Linked DNA regions of Drosophila melanogaster. The protein of the gene in region 2 purifies or fractionates together with the protein of the main gene of each other region. This does not show direct contact. Each region holds a gene or a part of one and is shown on either strand. Other genes may lie near its edges.

The links. The genes of interacting proteins can lie anywhere in the genome.
Region 1: the proteins of CG9662 (region 2) and jagn purify together in Drosophila melanogaster (affinity purification with mass spectrometry, with the first as the bait; one large-scale study listed by BioGRID). This does not show direct contact.

What each region holds. Positions count from the first base shown.
Region 1 is NT_033777.3:5,777,475-5,781,866, reverse strand, and holds jagn (jagunal), read right to left. Parts: upstream 2,553-4,392; 5' UTR 2,440-2,552; coding exon 2,351-2,439; intron 2,068-2,350; coding exon 1,695-2,067; intron 1,633-1,694; coding exon 1,501-1,632; 3' UTR 559-1,500; downstream 1-558. UniProt on the Drosophila melanogaster protein: Required for endoplasmic reticulum organization and proper vesicular traffic during vitellogenesis. Required for oocyte and bristle growth.
Region 2 is NT_033779.5:3,375,329-3,378,782, forward strand, and holds CG9662 (uncharacterized protein), read right to left. Parts: upstream 1,410-3,454; 5' UTR 1,292-1,409; coding exon 1,153-1,291; intron 1,093-1,152; coding exon 782-1,092; 3' UTR 504-781; downstream 1-503. Other genes in the region: CG15412 (uncharacterized protein), read right to left, coding at 1-80; Ptpa (phosphotyrosyl phosphatase activator), read left to right, coding at 1,771-1,798, 1,854-2,477, 2,534-2,742, 2,828-3,163. UniProt on the Drosophila melanogaster protein: Subunit of the oligosaccharyl transferase (OST) complex that catalyzes the initial transfer of a defined glycan (Glc(3)Man(9)GlcNAc(2) in eukaryotes) from the lipid carrier dolichol-pyrophosphate to an asparagine residue within an Asn-X-Ser/Thr consensus motif in nascent polypeptide chains, the first step in protein N-glycosylation.

The sequences.
Region 1 (4,392 bases), on a different chromosome or scaffold from region 2:
GTGCGAGTAATTTCGTAATTTTGAATTTTTCACAATTTTTTTTCCTTAGTTTTCGTGTTTACTTCGGTCCGAAATGGTGTGTTGGAAAATTCGGCATCCGTTCTTCGCACAGGCAATGTACAAATGGAAAATTAAGAGAGCGGGCGGAGCAGGGAGAAAAGGATGCTGCGGAAAAGCTTTGGCTCTCCGCCACAGCTTTTTCTCTCTCTGTCTCAGCTTCCTGGCTCTCCGTCGCCAATTGTAAACAATTGCGCAATGCTCGCCTGCTGTTGCTCCTCCACTCGCCTCGATGCACAAATGGTCACTAAAACTGGATTGTTGTGGCCAATTCGGCCTGCCAGCCGCATTGCAACGGCCTGTGGGGTTGTGTTGGATTGTATTGCTTTGGGCGAAGGTCCTTATTTGGTGGTGTTTTTCAAGAAATAAAGCTTGAGAACTTGTATTTGCCTCTTTAAAGTTATGATAAATATTGTAGATGAGCATATAAACATTAAGTGACTTAATAGGTATACTTATCAAAATTTGTTTTAAATCAACCGCAATAAAATGCTATGTTTAACCCACTCAGAAGAACAAATATATATGCATCTTTATTGATCGATTTTTAAAAAACTACTTAAAAATTCGAATAATAAATTACGATTTAAAAAACATCATTACATTAAAATTCAATTCTCAGTTTAGTTTGGCGACATGCCTGTCATTACACAGTATTATTGACGATCAGAAATTGAAGAACTTTGCTTTAACACTCAAATTGCATTTCAATCCTTATTTATAGTAGTGTGTAAACAGTGACAGAAGGTTGTAAATAGTTTGGGGCAGTTCTCAAACGTTCAGCACCCGGCCAGACGCCTTAAAGCATGGCACTGTGCGGTTCGATGAATAAAATTCAAAATTAACGTACTGGCAAAAATGAAACGGTTTCGAAATTTGTAGAAAAGTGAACTAATTATCAACTAGGCGAGGAAGTAACCATCCGTGGACGCAAACATAAACTGATGTACGCATATTTTCATGTGTAAATATATATATAAAACGTTTCTAACAAACACGAGGCACGTCGAAATGTAAGTGAGCAAAAATGAAGTGATCTCTAGGTTGGTTTTCAGTTTTTATTCCGACTCGGGGAAATTTGGTGGCTTCAGTTGCTTCTTGTCTTTAGTTGACCTCACAAGGCTGCGTATGTGTGTATATATGTATGTCTATGTGTATAGGTGTACATGTGTATATGGATAAGAGTCTATTTAATCAATTTGAAAACGGTATCAACTAACTTTCAACTAACAATAACCTTACCGCCGACGCTTCGCTCAGTTTCGACCATATGTTTCCCTTCCTGTATGACTAAGTGTGCGATACCTTAACAGCTGCATAACTTTAGTTTACCATAGTTTCATTACGCTTTTGTGCACTAGTGTTTTGAGTTAGTTTCAAGTTTCCAAATTATTTACAACTAGCCCTGCATTCCGGCGTTTACTAGTTTGGCGAGTATTTAGATTACTGGAACTTGCGCGTGGCAGTTCTGGCCTTCCAGGCCTTGACCAGGTTGTAGGCGAAGTACAGCGTAAATCCGTGCACCTGGAAGCCCACAAAGCAGAAGGCATACCAGAAGACGCCGTACGGATAACCCTGTAGAAAAACCGAGGTTTAGTAGGGCGGCTCTTGAGGGATTAACTGGCCCAGCCACTTACGCGCCACACAAAGATGTCTGTCTCGTCCAGCTCCACCGACTTGTCCAGCGTGGCGAACTCCCACACGTCCGAGAAGTAGTAGGCGAAGCAGTAGAAGAGTGGCAGGATGGCGAATAGCAGTATGGCCACCATATACTTCTGCATTTCGCGCACCTTGTTGCCCCTGGCGGCCGAAAGGCCCAGGAAGGAGGTGAGCAACGACGCGGCCCACACGTACTCCCACCACAGGGGCGGTGGGACCTCCAGCTCCTCGATCTCCAGCACAAAGATATCCAGGTGGTCCAGAATGTCCGACGTCAGCTTGGCCAGCATCACGAAGAACAGCAGGGCGTGAAAGAAGATGCAGTACTTCAACCTGGACTTGTTCAGCAGGCTAAAAGAGCAGAGAAAGTGGTCGTTCAGTGGCGGATCTGTGTGGGTGAGCCCCATATTGGGGCGCACATGCTGCCCAGCTGGCACTTTGCCCACCCGCCCCCTACAGCAGCAAGTGGGTGGGTGCAGCAGCTCCAGGGTGCTCCGCCGCCCTGGCTGGACGCCACCTGCGATTCGGCTGCAGTAGGTGCCGCCTGCAGGTGGATCTACTGCCACAGGCGCCCCAGTAATTAGATAATTTCGAGTGTAGCTGAGAGCTGGCGATAGCACGAAGTGTTATTAACCTAATTTGATATGTGCCAGCTACGCGCTGCCTGAACTCGAAGTCGTTGCCATCGGTGCCCGCGACCATTGGTCCGCCGCGCGTTGCCATTTCGTTGCCTTCGTTCGTGGGTCGTGTCGTTCGCTCACGTCGTTGCTTATTTTTAATAAATAATTGCACAAAAAATAGGGCTGGCACTAGAATCGATGTGTGTGCGATACCATCGCTGCCACCAAAAAACTGGCGCACATCGATACGCTCCTCGCTACCATCGATTACTTTCGCTTGAAAGCATAGCAAATAACCGTTAGAAAGAGAGGGGAAATTCCGCTAAGTTTTAGAATGTTCATTTTCAGAAAGTCTGCCATGGAAACTATTAATACATCTGCATGGAAACTGTTTACAAAACATTAATTAAATTAAATAATTAGCCTTTTAACTGTATTAGCAACACGTGATTAGTCATATTATTTAATTATTTTAACTTATTCTATTACAGTTATTAAACAGTTATTAGTTTTAATAAAGTGGCAATGTGGTCGTGGTGACTAGCTCCGCTTAGGGAAATTTTAATTGGGAGGATGACTTCGCTAGGTGTGTAACCTCGCTAATGCTGTGTAGAATAAATGTGTTATACTTACATACGTAGAACTTCAGTTTTTCTCTAGTTAGTTTCGGCAGAATGTAGATAGATATTCGAACTAGTCGCAAATGAGAACGATTTTTTAAAGGTAATGCTGAGAGTTTAGCATTGCTAATCTGAAAAGTGGGCTGGTGAAAAATAAAACCAAACCTATTCTTAATGGCATTAATGGCACTTAATACTTTAATTTTCATATCTTTTTTGCACGATTTTAGAAAATGAGGGCTGGTTTTAATACTCCGATTGAAATCTTCCATCCATATGAGAATTATTTCTACTAAAAGTACAAACGCTAGACTAAAATGAATTGAATTGCATTCCAATTCCAATATGTCTTATAGACCAAATGGCAGAACTAGTAAGATTTAGTAATGATTAATGATTAATGAACGGGTCGCGATGAAAAATATTACTCGTAGATTAAAAAAGAAGTATTCTAGATTCCTTTTTCAACGAATATGTATCAGGTGAAAGGAAGTGTTTTTCGAGCCAATAAAGCATATATTGGTAAGGAACACTAGCCGAATCGAACTGGCCATGTCCGTCCGTATGCACGTCGAGATCTCAGGAACTACATATATAAGAGAGATTAATTTAGTTTTATTGCTATGTCAGAAAATGTTGAAATTCATGTTTGAACTTTCACTAGCAGAGAAAGGAGTATCTAATAGTCGGGGAACTCGCCTGTAGCGTTCCCTCTTGTTTTAGTTTCTCCGTACCTTGTTTTTGAATTTGAACTGCAGTTCCAATTTTTCGAAGCCAATAATGCCTAGTGCGTCAAGCCGAAATTATCATAATTGGGTGCAAGTGCTCTTTGATGGGATTATGCAAATTGGATGCAGCTTTGTGTCCCAATCAGTTTTCCAGATTGGAAGCAGTGGGTGTGTCCGGCGGACTTTCGGCGCTCTGTCAACTGGCCAGCACCTGTTGCACCGAAATCCATAAATCAATCTGCCACGAAACAAGAAACAAGCGAGGAAAAGCCAATCTGCGAAAATAGAGAGGGCGACGACGTTTAAAAATAAAATAATGAATTTCCCATTTCAACGCACTCTCTTTATGCTCGCTACGCTACAAAAGTCGAGCATTCGGCCCGGGTGTGTCATCAGTTCTACGGCGGTATTCCTCCGACTTGGACGCGTTTTCATCGCATGCGATCGTCTCCGGCCGAAAGTCGCGTCTTTCCCGCTCCGATTTTAATGTCAGTTGTTGATAATTTCCGCTCGAATATTTATGCTGAGCTCGGTGGCTGACACTTTCGAGTCCAAAGTTGAAGTTGCGCCATAATTGCGATTCGGTCCATAAGGTAATAGACCAGAATAGTACCATCACAATGAGTGGCACTTGCATATTAATTGCATTTCATCGCCGAGTCTTTCTTTGTTTTCGCCAAAAATGAAAACACATACGCGGCAGATTTC
Region 2 (3,454 bases):
CTGATGGTGGACACCAAGAGATTGGCCAGCTCCGCCAAGGCGCTGTCGCTCAGCGATCGCACGGAGCACTTTTTCGACATGTCTCTGTTATGGTTTCGGCCCAGAGGTAAACAAAATACGACGCAGAAGCCGCTGGGAGATGAGCGCACTAGAGGAATTGTTTTGCTCGTGGTTACATCACTTGGTAGCAGGCGCAATGCTGGTTGTTTTCCTGCTCCCTTAGAGTATTTCTAACGTTCCTCGGTAACTATTTGCCCAATATCAGCTAATGGCGCACTTCTACACATGCGTGTACCTTATATTTAGGGGTAAAAATAGATTCTAAAATTATATAGGCGAAGGAATCGGTTTCTGCCGACGAACTAGTGAACTGCTCGATCCAACAGCACGATGCAAACTGAGAGCCATGGGACGCCAAAATGTTTGGTTTCCTCGGTTCCACATTCTCAATTCGGCGAGCCACTTGAGCGACCAAAAAAAAACAATGCTTAACTCGTTTCATTGTTATTTTGAGTCGCTTTACAATTGCATTATTTATTCGACAGCATCGGAATAGAGACATTCTATAGTTTACTTAACTGATTCGGATGAAAGCCAGCCAGTTATTCTGCTGTTTAAACAATATTACAACTATTACACAAAATTTTAAAACGAAATCAAAGTTTTTGTTTGGTATTCCGCAGCTTTAAGCCTTTTAAACTAGAATTTCTGGCGAATGCAGTTCGGTTTACAGATATTCGAATGTGGGAGAGTACTAAGAGAGCGTTTTTCAGTAGAGATTCTAGGGCTGCAGGTAGCTGGGCAGCTTCATGCGCATGAACAGCCAGGTGGTGAAGAAGGAGACCAGGATGAAAATGAATCCCATGGCGGTCAGCAGCAGGCGGTTGAGGTTCGTCTTGCCCGGCGTGTGCGTTTGGTCCATGATAATGAATCCCAGTCCGCCGACGGTGAACAGGAAGCTGCTGGCCAGGCCCTCCATGATGTACTGCCCATTCACACGGTAGGGCATAAAGGCCACTGGACGCGAGTGTCCGTGCTCATCCACCGTGGCTCCCAGACTGGGCGGCTCCACAATCACGTCATATATGATACCTGCGGGCCAATTTGCATCTCTGTTTAACCAATCTCAATTATAGAAAGCTTAGGACTCACCGCCTGTCACCAGAAAATAGGAAAACAAAATCACACTGAAAACGGCCATCGGTGACGGCATTGGAATGCTGAATCTGCGCACCTTGATGTTCGGCGGCACCAGGATGTGGAAGGGCAGGTTATACAGTGTCTCGATCATGATGAACTAATAATTTAATAACTATAAATTTAAATATATCACGGATTTTTCAATTTTCGTGGCGGTGTCGCTGAATTTTGCCGGCGTAGGCGGAGTTTGTTGTTATCTATCGAATAGGGATGGACACTTGTACGATACTCCCCCTGCATTGGTGTATTTCCACTAGACAGCATCTATGCTTGCAGCTGCATCGTAAGCCATGTCATTGTACTGTTAATGTCTTAAGTTTTAAACTGCCTAATCGATTTGAATTTTTTTATAAGACTCAAAATATATTATATGTAACATCAAACGATTGGCTTATTGATACTAATGTGCTTCAGCTGCGCAGCGTGAACAGCCTTTATATTTGGTCATACTTAGTGATGTCACTATTGCGCTCGCGTAGAAAAAGAGGAAGATGCCCCCAAAATAACAAACAAAACGTAACTCCCGATCAAAATAGCTTTAAATTGAAGTTAAATAACGAAACAACTATAATGGCGAGTGGCATTAACCAAGCAGCAGGTGGGCTGAGTGAATTTCTGAAGATTCGTAGCTTAGTTAACCACTCCATTTGCAGGTAAACTGCCGGCAATTGCGAAGAAGGTGCAAAATCTCGGCGATATGGGCGTTTGGCAAAAATCCCGCGCCTTCCACGATTTAATTGGATATATAAATGGCACCAGTTCGGCCATTCAGGGCATTAAAACCACAGACGAGATTTTCGAGTCGGAAATGCTCAAGAAGCTGCTGCGGCTATTCGATGCACTGGAGAAATTGGTAGAGCAAAATCCTCCATTGGAGCAGCCGCAGCGGTTCGGAAACAAAGCCTACAGGGATTGGGCGCAGGCAATGCGGGAATTGTTGCCCGAACTCCTAGAACAGCTGTTGCCAGACGACAAGAAGCGATACCAGGTGGAGCTGGGGCAGTATCTCACTGAATCTTTCGGCAATGCCACCAGGATCGACTACGGCACCGGCCACGAGCTGTCCTTCCTCTTCTTCCTGTGCTCCCTGTTCAAGGCGGAGATCCTGCAGGAAAGGGACATCGTGAGTGCTGCGCTGAGACTCTTCAATCGGTACCTTGAGCTCGCCAGGCAGCTGCAGCGAACATACAACATGGAACCCGCTGGGAGCCAAGGAGTCTGGTCGCTGGACGATTTCCAGTTCGTGCCCTTCATCTGGGGCAGTGCACAGCTGGCGGGTAAACAATTAAGAAGGATTCCTCCAAGATTTCCTTTCTGAAACGATTCCTTTCAGTTAAGAGTCCCTTTGATCCCTCGAAGTTCGTGGACGAGGCGATAATCACCGAGTACAAGGATCACTTCATGTTCATCAGTTGCATCGACTACATCTGCAAGGTCAAGACTGGACACTTTGGCGAGCACTCTAACCAGCTGTGGAGCATCACGGATGTGCCAACATGGGCCAAGATCAACGCGGGACTAGTTAAGATGTACCAAAAGGAGGTAATCTTTAGTCAGTAATATGACTAATATAAAGTAGCTTTAATTGAATACCTAGTACTCAGAAACTACTATAAACTATCCACAGATTCTCTCCAAGTTTCCCGTGATCCAGCACGTCTACTTCGGAGAACTGATGACATTCGAGCCCGTCTCCTCTGGCACAACTCTGTCCAACGCACGACTGGGTCATGTGGCTCCGCCGCCATCCAAACGCATCTGCATCGGGACTCCAAACTTGGTGCCACCAGTTCCTGTTGCCACTGCTCCTCCTCCGCCCGCCGAATCTCTTAGCATCGAACAGAATGTGGGCGACTCGAGCAGTGAGAGCAGCGACAACAGCGTGGTACTACGTCCATCCACATCGTCGTCTTCTCTGGTGGCGGCCGCCGAGGGATCTGGGGATAAGCCCAGCAAGGAATAGACTACAGAATGGAGGAAAATGGCGATGGTGTAACCTGTGTTAAAAATTCTTATTAATAGCGTTGGCCAATGGTCCAGTAAAAACTGTTTACACAAGTACAATCGCAATTTGTGTTCCTGGGTCTTAAAGTTTCCGCTTTCAAATGGGTACATGAAGCACTTTCCCGGCGAATGTGTTTCACAACATTTAATCCGAGTTTAATGGAAACAAATGTTCTTTCCCATTTACACAAGAAAAAGTACAAAAATGGGAAGCGATGGACGAGCGGAAAAAAAATAAACAAAATCAATA